2 linked regions of the Lonchura striata genome follow. The protein of the gene in region 2 interacts with the protein of the main gene of each other region in a pairwise test. Links are inferred from orthologs where the notes say so. Each region holds a gene or a part of one and is shown on either strand. Other genes may lie near its edges. The genes, in order: CEP43 and CEP19.

The links.
Region 1: the proteins of CEP19 (region 2) and CEP43 interact in binary tests that used the Homo sapiens proteins (3 or more experiments, as listed by UniProt). The two-hybrid records come from large-scale screens. The link is inferred for Lonchura striata from reciprocal best matches to the Homo sapiens genes CEP19 and CEP43.

The regions. Positions count from the first base shown.
Region 1 is NC_134605.1:39,038,047-39,049,756, reverse strand, and holds the start of CEP43 (centrosomal protein 43), read right to left. Parts: upstream 5,597-11,710; 5' UTR 5,429-5,596; coding exon 5,339-5,428; intron 1-5,338. UniProt on the Homo sapiens protein: Required for anchoring microtubules to the centrosomes. Required for ciliation.
Region 2 is NC_134612.1:5,289,341-5,301,343, reverse strand, and holds CEP19 (centrosomal protein of 19 kDa), read left to right. Parts: upstream 1-7,128; 5' UTR 7,129-7,138; coding exon 7,139-7,232; intron 7,233-8,493; coding exon 8,494-8,655; intron 8,656-8,926; coding exon 8,927-9,288; 3' UTR 9,289-11,532; downstream 11,533-12,003. Other genes in the region: PIGX (GPI alpha-1,4-mannosyltransferase I, stabilizing subunit), read right to left, coding at 2,281-2,424, 3,473-3,573, 4,805-5,018, 5,763-5,895, 6,303-6,366, 6,901-6,967. UniProt on the Homo sapiens protein: Required for ciliation. Recruits the RABL2B GTPase to the ciliary base to initiate ciliation.

The sequences.
Region 1 (11,710 bases), on a different chromosome or scaffold from region 2:
ATGTATGGGTCAGTGTTTTGAAACAAAATTAAATTTCTCCTTTTCCTCCCAGGCATTTACAACTCATCAGACAACACCAGTTTTTACTGATTTGTTATTGTACTGTAAATCAGAAATTGAAGTCCATGAAAAAAAGCATGTTTTCCGCACTAAACTACAGGATCCCTCTTTAGAACCTGGCTAAGTTTACCCTATTCCAAATAGAGACCCTCTTCCATGTACCCTAAGGACTGTCCATTAAAACAGCTCCCTCAATCTGCGGCTCCCTGAAAAAGAGGATAACAATTCTTACTATCTCAAGAGGTCCTCAAACACACTTTTTAGGTGGCACCTCAAAAAATGTCAATCTAATTTGGAAATGTACTTTTAATAGGAAGACAACCAGCACCTGCATTAGCAAGGTTATCAGTCTGATTTTTCAGTATGCTTGTAAAGCCATCCACAGAATCTTACACAGCAGATATTGCATGAAAAGTGAAAGGATGAGACAGAGACCATTCAGAACTGAATGATTACCTGTAACCCGTAACTACCTCCCACTTGCAGACTCCAAAATGTATAATATTTAGCAAGTCCATAGACATTCTGGGTGTTGTTTTTTTGATTGGTTAGTTGGTTGGTTGGGTGTTTGTTCTTTTTTTTTTGTGGGTGTTTTTGGTTTGGTTTTTTTGGGGGTTTTTTGGGTTTTTTTGTAGTATTTGTCTTTGATTGTGCTAGAATAGATTTGTCCATGACTTAAACAAGAGATCTGATTTTCTTAAGACAAAACTTGAGACAATATTTTCCAACAGGAAAATACCTGTAAACTTGAAGCACATTCCTACACCTCAAAGCATGTAAGCACATCAGTGGCTAAGATGATTTCTTATAGTAAGTACAAAATCTGAATATGGCTTGCTCCTTGCACTGTCTCCTTTGTACAGCTACACAATTCGCCTTCAATCCTAATATGCCAACACCTTCCAAAGAGACATCATCAAAATATTTTTTCCTATCAAGCTTTATCCGTATTTTCTCTTGCTGGGGCAATATTTCATATGAATGAGCAATGGCTTCCCAACACTGATCTCCAAATGCTGTGGAATACTAGGTAAAAAAGTGGGAACTTGAGCTTCATAAACTGCTTTGTACCTGTAGCACAGGTGAGTATGACATTGTCTGCTAGCTAACAGAGCCTTGCTGTCTGCTTTGTGCATCTCTCAACATTTCTACAAACCCTTAAGAGTTCTGCAGCTTTTGCAGAGGAAGTCCTGGGCTTCTTTTTTCATCCAAGACTCATCAGAAACCATAATATAAATTTCAGCCTGTCAAACGCATATGCTACCACTCCTCTAAACCCACTTCAGCAAGCTGAACACAGTTTTTGAAGCCATACAGGCAGCGTTGTGTATTCCCTAAGAAACAAGGGGTAGGCAAGTTCAGTAAGTGACAATATGGGAGACACTTCAGAGATCTGCAATGGGCCAGCTGGAGGTGCAAAATCTCCTGTAAACTTGCACTCACAAGATGTGCATCAGAGGATGCTGTGGTTAAATGTGTGGTTTAGGGAAGTGAAATGATTAAAGTAATGAGTAAGATTTCTCAGATACCTGCCAGCTAAAGCACAGGAATGTGTAACCACCACCTGCACCAGCACTGTGGAACAGCCCCATGCATGCCCAAGCATAAACAATCTCTTGCATTTGTAAAATTTAGTGGCACATGGGCACCCTTTGGCACAACTTTCAGTATCTCCACTTCCTAACTCCAAAACAACTGTCATACACCTTGGTAGATAGAGAGCAGATGCACTGCTCTGGAAAGAGACATGGCTGAACACTGAGCTGTTTAACTGCTGGTGATCAACCCTAAACCTCTGTGTGCACCAGGATAAACACCTCTCCCAGTCTACATGCAAATCCAAGGCTGGTGTCTAACCATAACCAGGAACATCTCTACCAACATTACTCAGTAATACCCTTCCTGTAATCTCCATCTGCAAAATCTGTAAAGGTTCTCATCCTTGAGCCTGTGGTGGGTATGCTGAAACTTTGCAATCGTGGCTAAGTGACATAAAGGAGTGATTATGCACACATAATCTAGAAATAAACAAAGTCCTGGACTAGGAGTAGAACCAGTCATACTTAGACTCCTCCCTGAGACTATGATGAGGACCATATTGACATTTAAATGTTGAATTACAGTTAGTCTGAAATAATTAAAAATGGTTATATTTTACTTGACATATAAAACTAAAAAGAAATAGATATTAAGTTGACTTTCTAGTATGAACTGCTTCAAAACAAACAACACTTCACAACATGAAGAAAACAGGAGGCTACACTGCAGTTCACAGCACATTCATCATGACAGTTAATAATTCTAAGACATTTAAAAGCACTGTTCATTACCATACATGGATCGAAGATGCAAAAGCAAACAGGACAATTTTAACTGACCTGTGCACATGCTCATATTAAAAAATAGGACTTTTATTCCCTCAAACATCACATTACTTGCACTGAGTTTGTACCTCAGGCATCCAGGTTTTGAAGCAAATTAATAAGAAATTAGCAGTACCACTGGGCCAAAAGCTTTACTAGTGATGTCATATGACCTCAGTGATGATAGCTCCCCTCACATAACTGTAGCAACATCAAGTTCCAGAGAAGATGAAAAATTCAGGTAATATAAATTTAAATTATTCCAAAGCAAGAGATTAAAATATATAAACCAAAACAAAATAAGATAACAAAGAAACATACAAGAAGCATAATGGCTCCTCTTGCTCAGATGACGACGGCCTTCCTAGGAGACAGATCACATTCTCTTCAAGACAGAACACCCTTATTTATACACTATCACACAGAAACAGTGATAATTTTCACTAGCATACAAATATCTACAGTTATATTGTGTGTTTACAGAATTCATTAGAAAGCTGTTTCATTCATCAGACTAATTCCAATGATCAACAAACTACATATAATATACATCAGTACTATATACAAACATTTATGTGTGTGTATACACATATACACACATATTGCATTTTAGAGAATATAGGAACTTCTCAACTGCAAGCAGTAAATACATTCATACAACTTCCAGTTTTCAAAATATTACTTTATAATTACTTCAGTGCTCAAAGTTTAAGACAAATAAAAAATATAAATAAATTTTTAAATGTCATATAAGTAACATTTTTAGCTAAATAATTTACATCAACAACAATGCACCCAAGAAACTATCAAAATAAGAATAAACTATAAACTGCAAGCCATTATAAAAGCGTATCTTAGTAGAGAACCAAATTATGACAGTAAGTTTATTTCTAAAAATTACTCTCATTATGTTACAAAATGTGTGACACCCTGATACATTCCATGCACTGAAATAATTCCCTTTGAATTCTAATCCTTCCAGTGCTTCATACCAATGCAGTTATACATTGATCACATATTTTTCTCCTTAATGTAGCTACTTGAATAAATCATAAATACTTTATTGTAGCTTTCTAGCCTCATCCATCTTGAAAAATGGTCAGTTCTCATTCTAAAGTATGAAACAGGCATCAGTTTTAATAATATGTAAATGTTCAGTTGTACCACATAATAAAAAAAAAAATATTGACATGTAATAGATGAGCACTATTGAAAAAATCAAGTTTAACTAATTTTAATAAAAGGATGACTGCAACTTTTTTTAATGGATGGTGTAATCTAATTTCAAGTAAAAGATGACAGCTTAAAAAGCCTTGTTCAATCTAAATTCTTCCAGCAACAGGGTTTTGACAAGTTATAGTAGAACAAAATCTAAGTCATTAATACTGCCAAACAACACTCACCAAACTCACACGCCAATTAAGGTTTACAGCTAAGAAAAAAACTAGCATGAGTTCTTCCAGTCAAAAGCCTTAGCCGTAAGCACACCAGTTATTAAACAGTAGCACCTTGTATTAAGGAGAGACATCATCTGGCAAGGAGGCTGTGTTTTGTATTTTTCTAAGTCATTTGCTAATTTGCCGTAACGGCACTTTAGACAGTATTGGATACCACACACTCTAAGCATGATACAATACTGAACTACAATAAATTTACTCACATAAAACTCAATGGACTGGCAACCACAGTATGAAATTTCCCATACTACACAAAGGTGGGAATTAAGAAATTATGGTTCACGAGCTCCATGTGACCCAATTGCCTTGCCATGCTTTTTTAAATTACAATTTTACTATCACCATACTTGCATTATTTAATAGTAGATGAGTGTTTAACAGATGGTCCAAAAGGCCTATCTGACATCCATTAGAAAAGCTTCACTACTCTGCACACAGTTACTTGAGCTAGAATCTTCATTCTCTTACAGAACTTAAATAAGGAACATCTAATTTGAAAGGGATCAACAACGTTATTTTGATTATTATTTTGCTGAAATGTATGACTAGTTCAAAATACAGTAAACTTGAAAGTACATACACAAGGATGCTCTCACTTCCATAAATCACTTCAGTTGTTGAATTGTTCTTGAAATACCAGCAACGACCTCTGGAGACTTAAAACAGCACTGTGGAAAAACACCACCATCCCTTATCTGAAAGCTACACTTTATTTCTCCAACTTTGAAGGAAACTTGCTCTATGTTATACACAATAATTACTCCTAGAAGCTTTTAATTTGAACAAGAATCCATGGAACCAATTTTCCTACCCTTTCTGACACAAGCTCAGGCTGCACCAGACTCAGTAGTAGCGTGCACTCCATTATCTTCCGTATATTTTCTTAACATAGCATCCAGGGAACAAATGTTCCCTGTAAGCAGGCAGCATCCCCCGAGAGCTTCCAGACTTAGCAAGCCTTCAAGGCACAACTGAAGCAACCCACACTTAAGAAGAACAACTGCTTAAATAGCGACCCACAACAACTGCTGCTTGAAATTTTCAGTAAGGGCTTTCCGTAAGGCTTTCCGTAAGGGCAGCAGGGATTAACTTCACCCTCCCCGTCCCGCACCGCGCCGCAGCCACTGCTTCCAGCCAGTCCGGCGGCAGCGCGGGAGCCCCGGCGGCCCCGCGCCCCCCTCGCCCTGCCCGCCCGGGACATCCCCAATTCCCGTGACACGGTCAGGCCCGGGCCGGCGCACCGGCTCCACCACGAGCAACCGGGGAACGCCACGGGGAAAGCAGGCGCCACCTCCAGGCCGCGACGCCGAGGGAGCGCTCCAGCCGGGAACACCGGCCGCAAGCGGGACTGAGGGCGCGAGCACGGGAAGCCTGGGTCCTCCCACACTCCGCAGGGCCGCGAAGCGCCGCCAGAGCCAGCCAACGCGCCCCGCCGGCGGGAGGCCCTTTTTCGCCCACCTTAATCTTGTTGAGCACCCCGCTGCTCTCCAGCGTCTGCACTAGCAGGTCCCGCAGCTCCGTGTCCTCCTCCGTCGCCGCGGCCGCCATCTTGCTTCTCCCTGACAACGGCCCAAACCGCACTAGCGGCGGGACCGGCCCGGCAGATTCGCTGCCGCCGGAGACGCCAGCCGAGGGCGGACCCGGGGGAACGGAGCGGACCGGGACGGGGGCCGCCCTCAGCCCCGCCCCGAGAGGGGACGCAGAGAGGCTGCGGCCGCCCGGCGCTTTTGCCGCCCGCTGAGGCTGGAAACTGCGGCGGCGAACGGGCCGCGCGGGCGGCGGGCGGGAAGTTCAAAGCGGGGGCGGCGGTAACGGCCGAACCGCGCGGCCGCCCGCGCCCGCCAGCGGCCCCTCCGACGCGCCCCGAGTGCCTCCCCTTCTCCCGCCGCGCTCGAACCCAAGCAACTGTACGAGGAGCGGCTGAGCTCATTGGGTCTGTTCAGCCTGGAGGAGACTGAGGGGAGATCTCAACACAGTCTGCAACTTCCTCGCAAGGAGAAGCAGAAGGGCACGCATCCATCTCTTGGTGATCAGTGACGGGACCCGAAGGAATGGCATGAAGCTGAGTCGCGGGCGGTTTAGGTTAGATACTAGGAAAATGTTTTCCTCGAGAGAGTGGTTGGGCACTGGAGCAGGTCCCCCAGGGCTCCCCGGGGAAGTGGTCACACACCGAGCCGGTCAAAGTTCAAGAAGCGCTAGGACAGCTCCGACGCCGGGCAGCTGCAGCCGCTCTGTGCTCGGGCTGCAGGGTGAACAGCCCAGCCCCGTTCCGTGGCCACGCTCGCTCCAGCGGCTCCTGACGGCAGCCGTGGGCTCCGGGCAAGGGCTCACCCGCCTGCCCTGCTGCCCGCAAGGGCACCTGGCGCTCAACGGCGCCAAGGGGGGCTTCTGGAGCCCTCGTTTCGTAATAACCATGTTCGTTGTTGCTCCTTAAAACAAAAAGCTTTGTAAATTGTAATGCTTTCTCTGCACAACTACATGTGGCAATTTTTTTTCCATGCTGAAGTGCTTATAATTTTTATTGAAGAGAAGTCCAATATATGACAAATAATCGGGAAAGTAAGTAAGGAATGCTCCAAGGGAGCACGTACAGCTCCCGGGCGAAGCAGGGCTCTGCGGGAGGCTGGTTTTAAAACACGTTCACCGACTGTTCAGGGATGCTCTACAGACTTGGCCAAGCCTGTGAGGACAGGTGTCCACCACTCCACCCCATTTCTGCTGGACACATGGGAGGTACTGCTGGAGTCCTATGCCCATTCCCACAGCTGCCCAAACAATATAGTATTGTATTTTGAATTGAAGAGTCTTTCACTTCAGAATAAAATTGTGTTAAACCCACAACACTGTACTTAAGCACTTAACAATTCCTTCAATTTAATTTTTCAAAACCATGTCAGAAATAAATAGTAGAGAGAGAAAGATAATGTCTGGTGATACAGTTATTTTTATTTGTTCACTAGATCTCTAAACTTAATGGAAAGACAAAACCCACTTGATAAAATAATTCATGAAGAAAAGATAGAGCAGAGGAAGACAAATCAGTAGACTTAGAAGATAGTTTATAATTTGTAAGATTCATTTAGCATTTCATAAACTGTGCCTGCCAGCTTTCAAATACACGTAGAATATTTTGAATCCATTCTACAGATGTTTTTTGAGCTCTGCAAAACAGCAGACTACTATATAGCTAAATATCCATCACCTTGAGGGAAGCAAAGCACAGTCCAGTGTCCTTCTGCAATGCACTGCCCCAAACTGTTTCACATTTGAAGGAAATGTTTCAGTTTTGAATTTATGTAATTCTCAAGTCAACTCTGTGGAAATCATAGAAACACATAGCTACAGGCTATTAACACAATTTAAATAAAATTCAAGCTTTAAAATAATCCATGGACTAAGTCTATTGATTTAAAATTAGGACATGAGAATATACATATATTCCAAAATGTGTGTATCTGCTCAGAGTATTGTAAATGTTTATTTACCACACTTTTAGGAATAAAGTCTAGCTGGATTTGTTTTTTCTATTTGCGCAATGGGAATAATCAAAGCAAAACAACATTGTGTTATGGAGAAAAAAATCTGAAAGTCTCTGTCTTGATTCTTAAATCCTTATGTAAACTGCTGAAAGCTGGAAAAATGTATTCTTTGAAGTGTTTCAACTAATTTTGGGTTGGTTTTTTTTCAGGCTACATATTTCAGCATATAAACATAGAAATTGAGGGTACTACCACATTTGTTCAGAATTTTTTGAGGAGAACATAATTTTCATGAAATTCAAAGGAAACTTCTCAAATATTCTGACATTTCCTCATTTTTTTAAAAGCATCATGAGTGCTAATAGGCAGCCATCAGGAGATAAAAGACAAAAGAGAAACAAAAGATCATAGTAGACAGACAAATATGAAAGTCTTAAGGAGATAGTTATCCAGTGTAGCTGTCCATTGTCTATCTTTGCATATTTCACAAAAACATTTTTTTTAATAACATACACTATTTTATGATATTGTAACATAAAATTTTGGCTTCTTTGTCCATAGGACATATTAAAGCCTACACTATTTCTGAGTAGCTTTGGACTCACTTTGTAATCACCCTAATGGGAAACTTGTAAACAAGATTAGTTTGCACAAAGTGCAAAGTGGTAATTTGGCACAGTCAGAGAGCAAATCCCTGTTGCAACTCAAACAAGATTAGCAAATTAGCAAAAGTGTGTGCACTGCAGCCCAGTGTTTTCACCCCTAATCTACAAAGATAGATTCAGTCTAATAAAACAACTCGGTGTGCTTATGTTCTGATTTAATAGGCAGTGACAAAGACTTTAGTGCCACACGGAGCCCTGACAGTCCCAAGGGGGCCCTACCTGACATCAGGGACCTGGACTGGTGAGTTTTCTTTCCCAGTGAAAAGAGCTGGAGTTTGTGCTCAGAGCACCCTGGCCTTTATCAGGTGCCTGACTGCAAAAAATCCAAACATCGAAGGATGTGTCCCAGACCCCAGCTGACCCCACCTCAAACTTGTGCTGCTCTGACAGTCCCAATGGGGCCCTACCTGACATCAGGGACCTGGACTGGTGAGTTTTCTTTCCCAGGGAAAAGGGCTGGAGTTTGTGCTCAGGGCCACAGGATGGCTGACTGCAAAAAATCTTAACATCGGAGGATGTGTTCCAGACCCCAGCTGCATCCACATCAAACTTGTGCCCTGGTGTCCTCAGCAGCAGGAAGAGCCGCACTGCTTACCAGGATCTGGAGACTTTCACTATTTTTCATTCTTCGAGAAAATTTCTGAAGCTTTTGGTACCTCTTAGTCACCCATGCATCACTCATTCCATCCAACGTATTTTCTCCTTTCCACAGAAAGGTAGGTAAAGAGATTAGTTTTGCCTCATCCTCCTTCCTACCATGTAAATATGAAAACATAATTAATTTTTTTACCAGTTTATGGAACTGAGATGTTGAACAAAGACCTTATTACAAAGACTGTAATTAATCTGTTTAAAACAAATGTTATTTTGCTTGTGGAAGCAGATCTGCCCACATATTTCTTAAGTACATTATTGTAGGATGGTTGTAACATACCCTTTGTAGTTCAAAACTACATGATAGTAATTAAAAATCACACTTTGTATTTATGACCCATGCATCGGCAGAGAAAGAAGGGTTAGAATATGTTTCATAGTTTAACGTACCGCTGAGAAAATATTGAACCAAGTTCTGACTCATCCCTTGGGGCTCCTTCCTCAGGAACTTCCTACTGCTTCCAAACACGAGTTGTTACCACTTCAAACTTCTCTATCTGGAGAAGCACGCCACAGACGCCTGTGTCAGCTCCTGGGCTGGCATTAGTCAGTAGTGTCCGATTTAGAGTCCCCATCGCACTCTCGAAGACCTCTGTGCCGCGCAAAAGCTCAGTATGAAACTAACACCTTTACTATGCTAAACAAGAACCAACCAAAGCAGCAGGACGAGCCAACCACCCACACAAATCACTTGCTCCGCAGCGCACCGCTCCTTTCTTGCCCGCGCTCACAGTGCCCCGCTCCCGCGGTACCCGGCTGGCCGCGGGGAGGCTCCGGGGCGGCTCCGGGGACACCGCGGGGCCGCCGCCAGCGCGGGCGGGCCGCGGGGAGCGGCGGTGCCGCCCCGCGCTCCGGGGCGGGGCCGTGCGCAGAGCTGCGAGAGGGCGGTGCCGGGCAGGGCAGCGCCGGGGCAGCGCAGGAAGGTAACGCGGGCCCGGGGGTGCGCGGCGCGGTGAGGTCTGAACCCGAGGCAGCGGAGGTCGGAATTGAGAGTGTGTCCTTGCTCCGGCTTGCCTCGGCTGCCTCTTCCCGCCCCCTGCCCCCGCAGCCGTGGGGCTGCGCTCCCGCGGTGGCAGCCGGGCAGGAGGGAGCTGCGGCTCGGCCCGCCCGCGGTGTTTCTGAGTAGGCTTTTCTGTGGGAGAGTGGCTCTCTGCCCCTGGGATCCTCAGCTGCGCCAACTGCAAACGTGGGATTTGCAGGCCTAGGACTCAGATTGTGTTTGCTTTCACTTCCTATGCTTTAAATCCGTAAGTCAGCCAAACAAGTGGCATTTCCCAGAGGCGGGAAAACTCTTAATAGTTGTTTAGGGTTTTTTTTACACTTTACATCAGGTCTGGCATCCTCCTGTCGCCTGGAGGCCTCTCGCTTCCGGTGCTTAGGAGATTTGCATTCTTTACAGTTTGTGCAGACGCCTCTGTGGTGATGGTTTATCTGAGTAAAGCTTTCTGCTGTCGCGGTGACATCGGTGCCGGAGCAGAGCCGTGTGTTGGGTGCCGTGCTCGGCGGCACAAGTTACATGCTATCAGTTACAAGTTACAGTTGTTACAAGTTACAAGTTATCAGTTTTCTCTTCTGCTTCTCCAGGAAGCCGGCGGGGCTGAGCGCAGCCCCTGCTACCTCCAGCCTCACCCCGACACCGCTCAGCCGCCGCACTGAAGGCCGTGAGAGGGGCAGTGCTGAAATCCTGCCGTGGCGGTGGGCGTGAGTATTGCCTCTGAAAAGGCTTCGAAGAGCCTTCTGCAGTTACTCGGACCAGCACTTGGGCTTGGGATGCATGGTTAGCTGGGAGTGGACAGTGGAGGTGAAAGTTGCCGGAGCTAAGAACGTTGTTATAAATTAAATTAGTGCTTCTGCCTTACAGTGTTGTGACTTGGTTTGTCTAACTCGTTGTGGCAGATGCCACACATGGCATGCTGACTTGTTATGGATGCTACCAAAGCTCTGGGTATTCATTTTTGTGGCTTTAGATGCCAGGCTAACAGTCCTAAATCTTATCTCTGGACATTGTTGCCGGCATTTAGCATGCGTGCATGCTATGTCATAATCATGGGCATCTCCTGCTGATGCTTGAATGCTCTTCTGCAGCATCTTCTCTTCTGATTTTACACGCTGAACTAAACTGTAGAGCAGGAGATTTTATATTAAGGAGAGGTTTGCTAGTAAAGCTAATTGTTAAAAGCAAAACAGAAAGAAAATAAGCAAGTAAAATAAGAGGTGACCAATAGCTAGAGTCCAAAAGAAGCATGTGCTACATCAGCACTTTGCTCTAGATGGTATATTAGAATTCAAACTATAGTGAATGTGTTAAAGGAGGGTTTCTTCAGTGTTTATTAAGAGTTCTCTCTAGTGTTTGATAAGCCTGGGCAGATAATTTTGAAAACAGCATGGAACCATGCTAACATAACTGAAAGTGACCTTGCCCTGACTGGGTTACTAAAACACACACAGAAACACGTGTTTTGCATTCCTATCAAGAGTAATCCCAAAGCTGTTATTGCACTTTAGAATTTTATCCATAATGAAAATAATGTTGATCACCTAGTGTCAAGTAATAATTTTACGTATGTGTGCAGGTTTTATTTTGAAGTTTTCAGTTTTCAATGTTATGAATCTTTTGGAACTTTCTGAGTTTTTATGTAACTTTCATAATAAGAAATCACTGTTTCTTATTAGAGGAGAGTTGGTGTAAGATTTGTTAAATCTGTTCTTCTGTTAATTAAATTAGTAATCTAGTGTAATTTTTAGTAAACAGAAGCAATTTTTATTAAAAATGTATGTGATCTATGCATCTTAATTGTTAATACAGCTCATATGGATGCATGTATTTCCTCAAATGCACATCATTCAGATGCCTTTAAGGTGAGATTGATGCACTTTTCACTTGTCACCATCCATGTCACAGATAAATGAAAGGTCACCTTGAATAAAGAAGTCTGTTTCGATAGTGTTGTGGTAGCTGCAAGGTTGTCTTCTGAGCTAAATCCTTAGAGTTTATGTATTGTTTATCGGGGGGAAAAAAGTGAAAGTTACAG
Region 2 (12,003 bases):
ATACCCATTTCTTTGTGATTCAGAAAGCCTTAATTCCCAACACGGCCTTTAATGCCCCATCCCCTTTTCTATCCTTGCTCTGATTCAGCCCTTACACATATTAAGGATGGGGATGTTTGTGTCCAAGCCTTTTGGCAGTGTTTTCTTGCCAAGAACTCCTCAACACCTCGTTCCTGTCTCCAAAACTGCCAGAATTCTTGCACAGGATTTACAGCTCCTCCTCTGATTTCTGAGATCCCTCTGGGGCTGGCACTTGAATCCTCCTGCATGGCACACCTGCTAAATTCTGTGCTGCCTTAGTGACAGCAGTTTCTGCTCTGAGAGAGAGATTCACTGGCAATTTCCTTTGTAATTAACACTGCTATGGTTATCAGACTTATTTACAGTTTGTAAGGAAAAATGTGTCTGCTGTATTTACAATACAGGTGCTGTGGATTTAAAAACAAATATTTGCCACAACAAAAACCACCCCTTGTGAAGCTCTGCCATTCTTCTCATATTTTACATTAATCAGAATCAATTACTTAGGTTCAGTTGGAAAGGTGATTGACAGCAATCTTGATATATACTTTATTTCCATATTTTTCCACCTGCAATATTTTTTGTTTGCCCCGAGTACACTCCCATTCTCTTTCCCTAGGTTTTGTCAGGGATGTTGATGTAGCTGAGGGATTCAACCTGTGATTTTCAACTGGTGTTAAAAAAACAGGCAGTGAAGTCCTGTCCCTCAGCTCTGGCAATCTGGGATGTTGCCATTCCAAGGGTCAGGCTCCAACAGAGTTACCTACAGAGCACAGAAACAAACTTAGCCCTGGAAATTAAATATCCCACTTGGAGACAAGTGCCACAGTGCTGGTCCCAGTGCTAGCAGGGCTGAACAGCCCAAAAAAAGAATATATATGTATATATATATAATTTGTATTTATATATTTACTATATATATCCCAACCTGCCACGGAAGCAGTCACAAAGAATTCACTCTGTTGAATTCCAGCAGGAGAAAGATGCCCAAGGGACATGGATGAAAGGCTGCACACCGAGCCCTTGAAAGGAATTTTCGTTCACCCCTCGCACACACACACTCACCCAGATTAGCTGCTCTGAGTAATTTACTCGAGGTTTATCAGGGATAAAATGCATTTTCTCCACGCGGGGGTTCCCGTGGGCTCCCAGTGCCACCTACTGACAACTGCAGACAGCACCCGAGCTCTGCTGCTCCAGAGCCTCTCGGCTTTTCCATGAGGTAATTTCCTCTCCATTTCCTTCTATTTATCAGCTGTCCTGGAGATTAAATGTCCATCTTCTAAATATTTGCTTCTAGTCACTATCCTGTCCCTCACTTTCATCTTCCAAGGGTTTCTTTCCACTCATGAAATTTTTTCAAATTTTCTAAACTCTTTCAATTCTGACCAATTGTTCATCCTGAGAAAAGGAGGTTCAGGGGAACCTTCACTCTCTAAACTCCTGACAGGACATGGAGCCAGGTGGGGGTCGGGCTCTGCTCCCAGGGAACAAGGGACAGGACAAGAGGAAAGGTTCAGGTTGGATATTGGGAAAGGCTCCTCTTGGGAAGGGCTGTCCAGCCCTGGCACAGCAGCCCAGGGCAGTGGCGAGTCCCCATCCCTGCAGGGATTTCACAGACCTGTGGATGTGGCACTTGGGGACATGGGTTGAGAGTGGCTTTGGCAGCACTGGGGGATCTTACAGGGCTTTTCCAACCTTAATAACTCTGTGGTTCTAATTAGGCCAAGAGCAGCCAATTCCTCAGAGTCATTAGCATGGGAGAGATTATCAACGTGTCCCAGGTAGGCACAGAATGTCTCTTCACAAATTCATACATAACCCATCTGCACAACAAGCTTAAAATCCAGAAATTTTAATGATTCAGTAATGTTTTTCATACCCTTAATAACCAATCCCTGAGACAAGAAATACAAACACCGCTGCAAGAGGTACTGAAAGCAAGCTCTGGGCCAGGAGGAGGGAATAGGAGCCCCAAACCCACCAATGATTGTTGCCTCATTGCCCACAGCAGTGCTTTCAGCTTTTTGAGGCTTTTTCCTACTCTCCATCTGCTTTGGATATTGACAACACATCCAAAATGTCTTCTGGGCTGTGGAAGCCATTTGTAAACACTATGAGCCAAAGGAACTATAATGCTTATGGGAGCCTTGCACCCCCTAAGATATAAACAGCAGCAGGGTGGGATCCATTCAGGAGCCCAGTGCAATCTGCAGCTGGTTGTGCTGGGTGGAGGGCAGACATTCCACATTTCCTCAGTCACTGTGAGAAGTGTCCATACTTGCAGGCAGCAGCCAGGATGAGGCCAGAGCAGAGCCCTGTGGTGAGCAGGGTCAGGGCACACACCAGGGAACTGTGCTCCCTGAGCCCCACAGGAACCCTCAGCATCGATTCCTCATATGCCTACAAAGAAAAAATAAATATATATCACTCATTTGAGCTGTTTCTTTTTGACTGCAAACGAGAGGATGAGGAACCAGACCCTGATTTAATTAGCCCTTGGCTAAAGCTTCTTCTGAGATTCGGTATCAGAAGAAGGATGGGAAATCTTTTAATTCACAGCCACTGCTGCACTGCACAGCTCAGGAAATGGATCTGCTGCCATCTGTATCCCTGGATCTCTGCTCCTACTCCAGCCACTGAGGGAATGTCTGGAATGCTGCAGGGAGAGCAGCTCCCAAGGTGAGCTCAGATCACGAAGGAGACAGATTTCTCCAGAGTGAACAACCATTTGGTTTTTTCATTGATGCAGGAAGCTGCAAAATGTTTATGGACAACAGCTACAGAGGTACCAGTGGTCTGCAGGTATCTTAAATATAGGAAGGCACATGTGTTACAACAATAACAGACTATTTTATTATATAAATTAGTCTAATTTCTGAATCTCTACACTACCATGGCACTTTGGAACATCAACCACAGTTGTTGGCCACACTAAAGATCCAACTTTCCTTGGTTTTGAACACAAAAAGAAACTTCACCTTTTCCTAAACACTCAACCAAGTAACTACCAAGCAAAGAGGAGTGGCTTTATTTTGGATGCTACTACTTAAATCTTTGCAGTTTTACCATTACTTTAGCTAGATTATCTTCCACCTTGCTACTCCTCTGAAGCACCAATGTTGTAGAGACTTTTCTTAATTTGGCCAGGGCCAATTATATCCTAGGATTCCAAGTAAACTAGTAAAGGAAAAAAAAAAAAAAAGATCAGGAGAGCAGCCATGTTAAAGGGCCAGAAGAGCACAACCCCTGTAAACACAACAGAAGGGCAGGATGACCCCCACTAAAAGCCAGTCAGAAAGGAAAAAAGGAGCTGACAAAGAAGGAACCACCCAGCTAGTCTCTTAATGATTAATTCCTGTTAGGAAATAATTCTAAAAATTAATCTTGAAAGGTGTTAATCACAGAAAAAAGGCAGCAGTTGTTAAATAGAACCAGAGGGAGAACTCACGGGTCTGTGTTTTGTGGTGTGCCACTGACAGGGACTGTTGGTGTCAGATGAGCAGGGAGTGTCCACTTCAGCAGGTTCCCAGCACTCTGCAGACAGGTGCCCTAGGGAAGGCATTCCTGCATCACCAGGAGCCAGGCAGGATAAGCAATCAGCCTGCAAGCTTTTTCCAAATAAGGGATCTTTTCCTCTACAACAGCTCAACAGAATCTATTCCCTGGGAGCCAAGTGGTGAAACACCTCTGCATGGCCAAAGTGGCACTGGGCAGTCTTTGCTGTGGATTTTACAACTCTTCCCTTCCTGATACAGCAGGTACCCAAGAAAGAATCTCACCTGTGTGGTATCTTGCCCATTCTGTCCTTATCAGAGCAAAGAATTCCTGGTTAGCCTGCAGACCCCTCAACTTTAGCCATGTAGTTAGAATTTTTCACCAAAATAACTAAGTCCCCAAAATAAGTAAGGCCATTTGTCTTCTTGGCCTCCTGTCAGCACACAAAAGATCTCCCTTCCAATACTTTAAAACCTTCCCCATTAATCATTAATAATAAATGTTTTCCTGCTCATAACTAGTAAATGTGCCAGGAAGATTTAACACCCCTTTTCTAAGTGACCAGGTAGTCCTGCCTGTCCCTATGCTTATCCCAGAAAACCATTGCTCAAGTAAAGAAAAAGGACTTGAAAATCATTAGTGTGCTTGACTTGGCAGGAATGATTTTGTGAAGGGACACAAAATTTGTAACAAAATTATAGGGTTTCATTGTTCACATAACTTGAAATATTAATTGTAGTGGATATCAGGTGCTTGTTTCACCAGAGTTTGAGACTCCAACCATTCCAAGCTTCAGGCACAGTTTCCTACATTTCCCCTTTATATAAAGAGAATGCAGCAATAGTGTTAGAAGCCATCTGAATACTTTGATTACTCTAAATAGGTGACAGTGGCTACTGAACACACCCTGCACATCACCAGCTGCCAAGGGAAAAATGATCAGAGCAGGAGCCCTTTGGCAAACCAGGCCCTGCTGGGATGGTGACAAACACGGATCATGACAACTGCCACGTCTTCCAGCTGGAAGAGCCCAAGCAGCACAGGGGTGCAATGGCAGCAGCACAGCACAGAGCAGTCTGTGACACAGAGCAGACTCTGACACAGAGCAGACTCTGACACAGAGCAGTCTCTGACACCCCCCTGCCTTTGGCCAGCCCTCAGCGAGGAAGACAACGAGGTCTTTATCAGGGCCACGCCTCCCGCTTACGTTCCCGCAACTACCAAGAGCTCCATCTCAAACACAACCAGATTCGGGCTGGCCCAAGAGCATCAATGAGAATCTCACTGTGGCAGCAGCAGAGCAGCACCTCTGGGCTCTGCAGAGCCACCACGGCCTGGCGTGTCCCGCGGGCGGGCCGGTGGTAGCGCGCGTGCACGGGCACGGCGGCGCCGAAGCAGCGGGAGCAGCGCGCGTCCGGCTCCAGGAACAGCAGCAGGACAAGAGCCTCGGCCAAGTACTCGGGAGCCTCCACGTCAATGACATCAGGAAATAACATTGCCTGCAAGCAGGGAGAGATACAGGAGCGGTTTGATGGAAATCAAAAACCATTGCCCTCCCTCATGCTAACACTGAGATGCATTTTGTGGTCAGGATGATCAAGTTGGGAATTCCAGCCTTAAGCTATTCCAAAATACCTTTTCAAGACTGTCCTATGTGTGGAAAGTTCTTAGTGTCACTGTGCCTACAGCCAGACCTGTGAGGTGTCAGCTCAACGATGGCGTCAGCAAGGCCAGTCCTGCACCCCAGGCATGCCAAGGGCAGGAGCTGCCCACAACCTTTGCACCAATGTTTTAGACCAATGTAAGCAGATTAAAGCCACAGCCTTTGTACATCTCTCTAATGTGAAGCAAAGACTGGACAGCAGAACAGAAAGCTGGGATGGAAACTAAACTGGGAAGCTGCTCAGTCCAAACACACAGCACGTGACTTAGAGCTCACCAGCACCTCCTTGGGGGTTTCCCTTCCACCTTCTGAACCCGAGGCCCTCTTACCACAGCTGATCACCTGAGGCTAAGAGAGGAGCAGCAGCTCCCTGGCTCATCACCTGTGTGTGAGAATATCAGCAGCACCAGGGGATGCCAAGCGAGCTGAGTTACAAAGAGACACCAGAAGATTATATGGTTTGGCACCTCCTTCCAGGAATTAATCACCTTGCTTCAACAAGCCAGAAAATGACCAGACAATACAAGGCCCCGAGTCCTCACCTGACTCAGTGCCAGAGCTCGTGGTGCTGGGGCATTACCTTTGTCAGATTGTGCTGCTGCAGCGTTGCCAGCTCGTAGGGATCCACGTAGATTCCCGGCGGCAGACGCATCTGAGCTGCCACTGCACATCCTCCTGCATCCTCCCCCAGCTCCACCTTCACCAGCAGGTCCCTTCAAACAGCAACAGGAGCAAAAAACTTACACCCACACTTCAAAAGTGTGGCACAAGACCCCCGAGAGACATTTCTCAGAAGAGATGAGCTCTCACACCGAGTGCAACTAATTCTGACCACACTTCCCTGTCCAGCCTTCTTAACCTCAACCCCACATCCACGGCCAAAATGAAGTTTCACTTCTTTGTTAATGTCTCAGAACCACCAATGGCCTCCAAAAAAGTTTTAGAAAGGGGCCTCCTATTTTCCCTCCACTGCAGCTCGTTAATCCCTTGATCCTGTTAATGCATTCCCAGGAATCACAGCCCAGAGAGCTGATAGGGCTGCACAAGAAAAGAAGAGAGGCTCTTCCAGCAGAAAATCCCGTGGCACGTTATGCTGATGGAGGGCAGGGTGAGGACTCACCTGTGAAACCCCTCTTTCAGGAGCTCCTGTGTGACAGTGGTGTCCCGACAGGCTGCCTGCACATCTAAGGTGACACAGAGCCAACAGTGTAACAGCACAGCGACCACAGGGGCTGCAAAAACTTTATAACTCACAAACGCCTCATCTGCAAACCCCTTCCCTGAAGAAGGGAAGAAGTAATTGACTGTGATCAAAGCAGAACAGATTTCTTGGTTTGGGTTGGAAGACACCTTAAAGCCCATCCTGTTCCAACCCTCGGCTTCGAGCAGGAACCTCCCCGGGACCAGGGCACTCCAGGTCTGTCCTTGAACACTTCCAGCCACAGCCTCTCTGGGCAACCTGTGCCAGAGCCTCCCCACCCTCACAGGGAAGAATTCCATCCCAATATCCCATCCATCCCTGCCCTCTGGCAGTGTGCAGCCATTCCCCCTTGCCTGTCCCTCCACCCCTTGTCCCCAGTCCCTGTCCAGCTCTCCTGGCGCCCCTTTAAGCACTGGGAGGGGTTCTGAGCTCTCCCTGAATCCCTCCCTCCTCCAGGTGAGCCCCCCCAGCTCTCCCAGCCTGTCTGCAGAGCCCCGCGGTCCCCGCGGGTGCTCACGGAGGGCGCAGAGCAGCGCGCCCAGCGCGGCCCCGACCCGCACCGGGCCCCGCCGCCCGCCCGCCATGGCGGCGCTCCGCACGGCCGCGCGGGCTGCCCCCGCGCCGCCTGACCGCGCGGGGCCCGCCCACCCCTCGCTCCGCGGCGCCGTGTCCCGCAGGCTTTCCTGCGGGCAGCCCGAATGGGGCCTTCGGCGGAGGGGGCCTTTCTCGCTGGGGCTGGGCGCGGCGGCGGAGCCATGGCAACCGCGCGGAGAGGCGGGCCCGGCCCGGGACAGCGGCGGGAGGAAGGGGAAGGCGGAGAGGAAGGAGTGGCTTTGTGCGCCGCCTCAGGTGAGGGGACATGGCGGGAGTTTAAGGGAGACAGAGACATCCTGGAGCGGGGCCAGCACAGGCTGCGGAGGAAGGGCCTGGAGCATCTCTGTGCCCAGGAAAGGCTGAGGGAGCTGGGGCTGCTCAGCCTGGAGAGGAGCCCCAGCTGAGAGGGGCCTCAGCCCTGCCTGTCCCTGTGTGTCCCTGCCTGTCCCTGTCTATCCCTGCCTGTCCCTGTGTGTCCCTGCCTGTCCCTGTTTGTCCCTGTGTGTCCCTGCCTGTCCCTGTGTGTCCCTGTCTGTCCCTGTCTGTCCCTGTGTGTCCTTGTCTATCCCTGCCTGTCCCTGCCTGTCCCTGTGTGTCCTTGTGTATCCCTGCCTGTCCCTGTCTATCCCTGCCTGTCCCTGTGTGTCCCTGTGTGTCCCTGTCTGTCTCTGCCTGTCCCAGTGTGTCCCTGCCTGTCCCTGGGTGCAGGCAGGGCCAGAGCAGGGCCCAAGCTCTGCTCCGGGGCCCCAGCAATGGCACCAGAGCCACGGGCAGGGACTGAGCCCAGCAAGTTCCACCTGGACGTGAGGAAGAACTTTCCAGGGCAGTGATGGAGCCCTGAACAGACCCAGAGAGGGTGTGGAGCCTCCCTCACTGCAGATATCCCAGAGATGTCCGGACACAATGTGTGCCATGGGCTCTGGGATGGCCCTGCTGGAGCAGGGAGGTGGCTCCAGTGACCACTGTGGTCCCTCCCAGCCTGGCCCATCCAATTGTCACTATTAAGGACACTACTGCGTGTTTGAGGTCTTTCCTGTGTGATTTTTTTACAAAGGAGGAAGTGTTTCCAATTCTGCCTCAAAGTAGCTTTTCAACATTAATGTGATTTTTCTTGATGTGGAGAAACCCATTGATTTTTTGGGGGGTAAAATATGTTACTTTGCTTTACTGCAGTCTGGAAATCACCTTCATGTTTGACATCTTTGCAGTCATTTAAAAACAATTTTTATTGGTTTTAAACCAATACAAATACTAGTTTTTAACCAATTTATTTTATTCAAAATAAAAGTAAAAATAAAACACCTGTACTCAGTGCTGTCCACTGAGCTGGGAAACAGGATCTGCAACAGATTTGAATTTTTAAATCCCCTCTAATTTAATTTCATAATTCATTTCCCTGGGCTTTAAGGCCCATTGTGACCCAAAGCACTCTGGGGTTCTGTGATTTTGCTGAAGTGCTGACAACAAAGGCAGCACGGAGAGACTGTCGCAGCTGCTCTCCTTTCCCGTTCCCCAGGGAGCGCTGCTGCGCGCTCGGGCGGAGCCGCGATGACTTTCAGCGCTCAGAAATGCGGGGTCAGCTTCCAGCCGCCATCCATCGTCCTCATCTACAGAGACAACAGCCAGGACAAGACTCGCCAGCGCATCATGCCCGTCAGGAATTTCTCCAAGTTCTCAGGTGAGGGGCATTCATTCCGCCTGCATTCATTCCGTGTTTGCCTCCAGCTGCACGCACAGGAACCCATTGGTAGCAGCATCTGAGTGCCCTCCTAGCAGCGTGCAGGGAGGGGCTGTGCTGGGGTAATGTTGTCTCCCCGAGGAGCCCAAGGCTACATCTCAGCCTCTCTGAGCCTGGAGGGTTTGGAGAGACCCCTGGAGAGGGTTTGGGAGAGGATGTGTCAGTGGGAAGAGGTGTGCTGGAGCTGCAGGCCTGTGCTGGCTCTCCCCAGACTGCAGCAGGGCTGCCGAGCAGCTGAAGAACAACCCTCGGCACAAGGCCTACCTGGAAGGGGTCTCACTGCGCCAGCTCCAGAAGCTCTACAGCTTGCTGAGAGGTCATTTGGAAGGACAGAGCCTGGCTGAGAGCTTGGAAAAGTTCCAGCAGGAAGAGACCATTGACCCAGAGGAGGATATGAACAAACTGGATGACAAGGAACTGGCCAAAAGGAAGAGCATCATGGACGAGCTCTTTGAAAAGAACAGGAAGAAGAAGGATGACCCTGACTTTGTTTACAATGTTGAGGTGGAGTTCCCCCAGGATGAGCAGCTGGAGTCCTGTGCTTGGGACACGGAGTCAGATGGAGAAATCTGATTCCAGACGAAGATGGGCAGTTCGGAGACAAATCTGTGTCCCAGCAGAGAGAACAATGCCATCATATGTTGGCTCAGGAGAACTTGAGGTGCCACAGCAATCCCAGGCTTAAGTGAGCTCTGTTTAAGAAGCCAGACTTGATTAAATGGAAACTGCATAACTGAAATTGTTGGCTGCCTTTAGTCTTTTCCTACATAAAATAATTTTAAATTATTTAATCTTTCAATTTTTTACATTTCAGTCAGCTTTGGCTGAAAATGAAGCATTAAATATTCATGTCCTGAGGACACTGTTAAAGCTGTACTGTACAAATAGGGTGATTATTATTGCCTGTTGGGAAGTTAAATATGTATCAGTCATTCTGGATAAATCAACTCTGCATTGAGAATATTACTCTTACATTTCTCTAGCAATGCTTAAATCTTCAGTTTTAGCTTGCACAAAAATACATCCTTACATGTAAGAGAAGGAATATCTTGAAAATTAATTAGTCTTGAAAGTACTTTTGAAAACACAGTGATTTCAAACTGCTTCAGTGGGATGATTGGATCCTTACACTCCTGGGTAATGCTTCCTCATAAGTGCTCAGTTCTGGGAGAATGTGCCTAAAGTATCTGAAAAACCAGAGTGGTAGAAGATCAAAGGCTGGGGGTGGTTCTAAAGTAAGACAAACTCATCCCACGGAAGGTTTTAATCCTGCTGTCTACCTTGCCTGGTCTCTACTAGATCAGTCCTGCTCTCAGGTAAGAACTGGAGGACTAAGATTAGGATTTTTTGGGAAATTTTACTACTCCAAAAGCTTCCTGGGTTTTGGCTTTCTGAACCCAGGCAGCTGTGAGGGCTGTGGGTGAGATGGACCTTCATCCCAAATGGAGTGGCCTCAACAAACTTCTGCCTGACATAACTAAGAGGAGTGGCTGGAGGAGCAGCTGGAAGAGCTCTCCTCCTACAGGCTAAAATGAGTGGCTGCTATGAAAGTCATGAAGCAAGTGTCAGTTAAGCCACAGTTAAGCTTTGCTGTCACTGGAGAGGATGAGGGAGCTCACACTTGGCCAAGGAGGTCTTCAGTCAGGAGAGAAATGAAAGCTGAGGCCTCACTTGCCATAACTAAAAAAATGTAAAGGCTGACTCAGCTCTCCCAGAACCGGAAAGGGCATGCAGGGGTCTGGCACAGGCCTTGCCTCCACAATTGCAACATAACACCACAGAAAGATCTCCCACTTGGGAGGGAGAGGGTCCCTGAGAACATTTCCTCCACTTCCAGCCTGCCCCCAGCTTCATCCTGACCAGGGCATGGCCTGTGCCCAGCCCCAGGCATGGCCTCCTCTCCACTGAGGGCTACATGAGGCCTGAGTGCCTGGATTGTGAGGTTCGTGCTGGCCTGCTCCCCCAGCCCACCCCAGACCTCCAGCAGGGAGCCATACTGGTCTTCCCAGTTTGGGATCCTCAGGGAACTTGGCAGGAAGGCACTTCACAGCCAGCTTTAGGTCATGCATATAGACATGAGATGAGACAGATCCCAAAACAGTCCCTCAGCAGCCTCCTGGTAGAGCACATCCTACCAGCCACAGCCCCACAGCCCTCTGCACTTCACTCCCACTGATCCTGACCTGCCTGGCTGCTCACCAATCCAGACTGTGACATCTGCATTTGCATGGAGAACGCTGTGGGACTCTGTGTCCAAAGCCTTGCTGAGCACACGGAATCCACCACTCTCCCCTTGCCTACAGATCCATCCATTTCATCTTAGAGGAAAGCAGGTTGGGCAGGCATAACCTGGTCTCAGCAGTCCATGCTGACTTCTTCCAACCACCCTCTTTTTCTAGGACTGTGCTCCAAACAAAGAACATTCATTCCACAGTTTTCCCAACAAGAAGGTGTGTGGTATTCACATTCTCTGAACAGAGAAAGACATGATTCTCTCTCCCAGGATTTTTCCTGGAAAGCTGTGAGACGCAGTGAAAAAGCTCAGAGAAAGAAGAAAACAATTCTTATCTCTATTTACTGCACCTGTTGTTTGGCACATGTGGGATGTGTTATGGAGATTGTTTACCAAAGAGGGATTTGTTAATTGGACACTGGTGATGGTTGTTTGGATGGATTGGCCAGTTGGGTCAAAGCTGTGCCATTCCTGGAGACAGCCACGGGTTTTCTTTAGTATCTTTTTAGTATGATATAGTTCTAGTATAGTATTAATGTAATATAATTTAGCTTAATAAAAGCAATTTATTCAGCCTTCTGCAACATGGAGTCAGAGCTCGTTATTCCCCGTGCAGGGGTGTCACACTGCTCCAATAAAGGTGACTGCCCCATTCTCTCTGGGATGGCCTTTTGGCTGTTTCTGAAGCTGGGTGAGACCCTTGGGTTCTCCAGTCACCAAGGACCTTCCCTGATCACCATGGCCTTGCAAAGACAGTGAAAGCAGCTTTGTAAGTTCACCTCAGAGCGGAATCTCCTCTTGCTGCCTGCACAATCCCATTCACATCACAGCTCCAGCTGAGCCATGGCTTTCCAGGCACCATGATCAGGGAATGTTGAGTATCCCCATCAGCTCCATACAATTAAGAATCCCTCCTTTTTATCCACGCCCTGGGCAGTGCCAGGTGCCTGGGTTCCTCCCTACGTGTTCTCCCACAGCTGCACCCGACACCCCACACCGGATGGAGCAGCAGCATCGGCCATGGAGGTGGAGAAGGACACACATCCCCCTCCAAG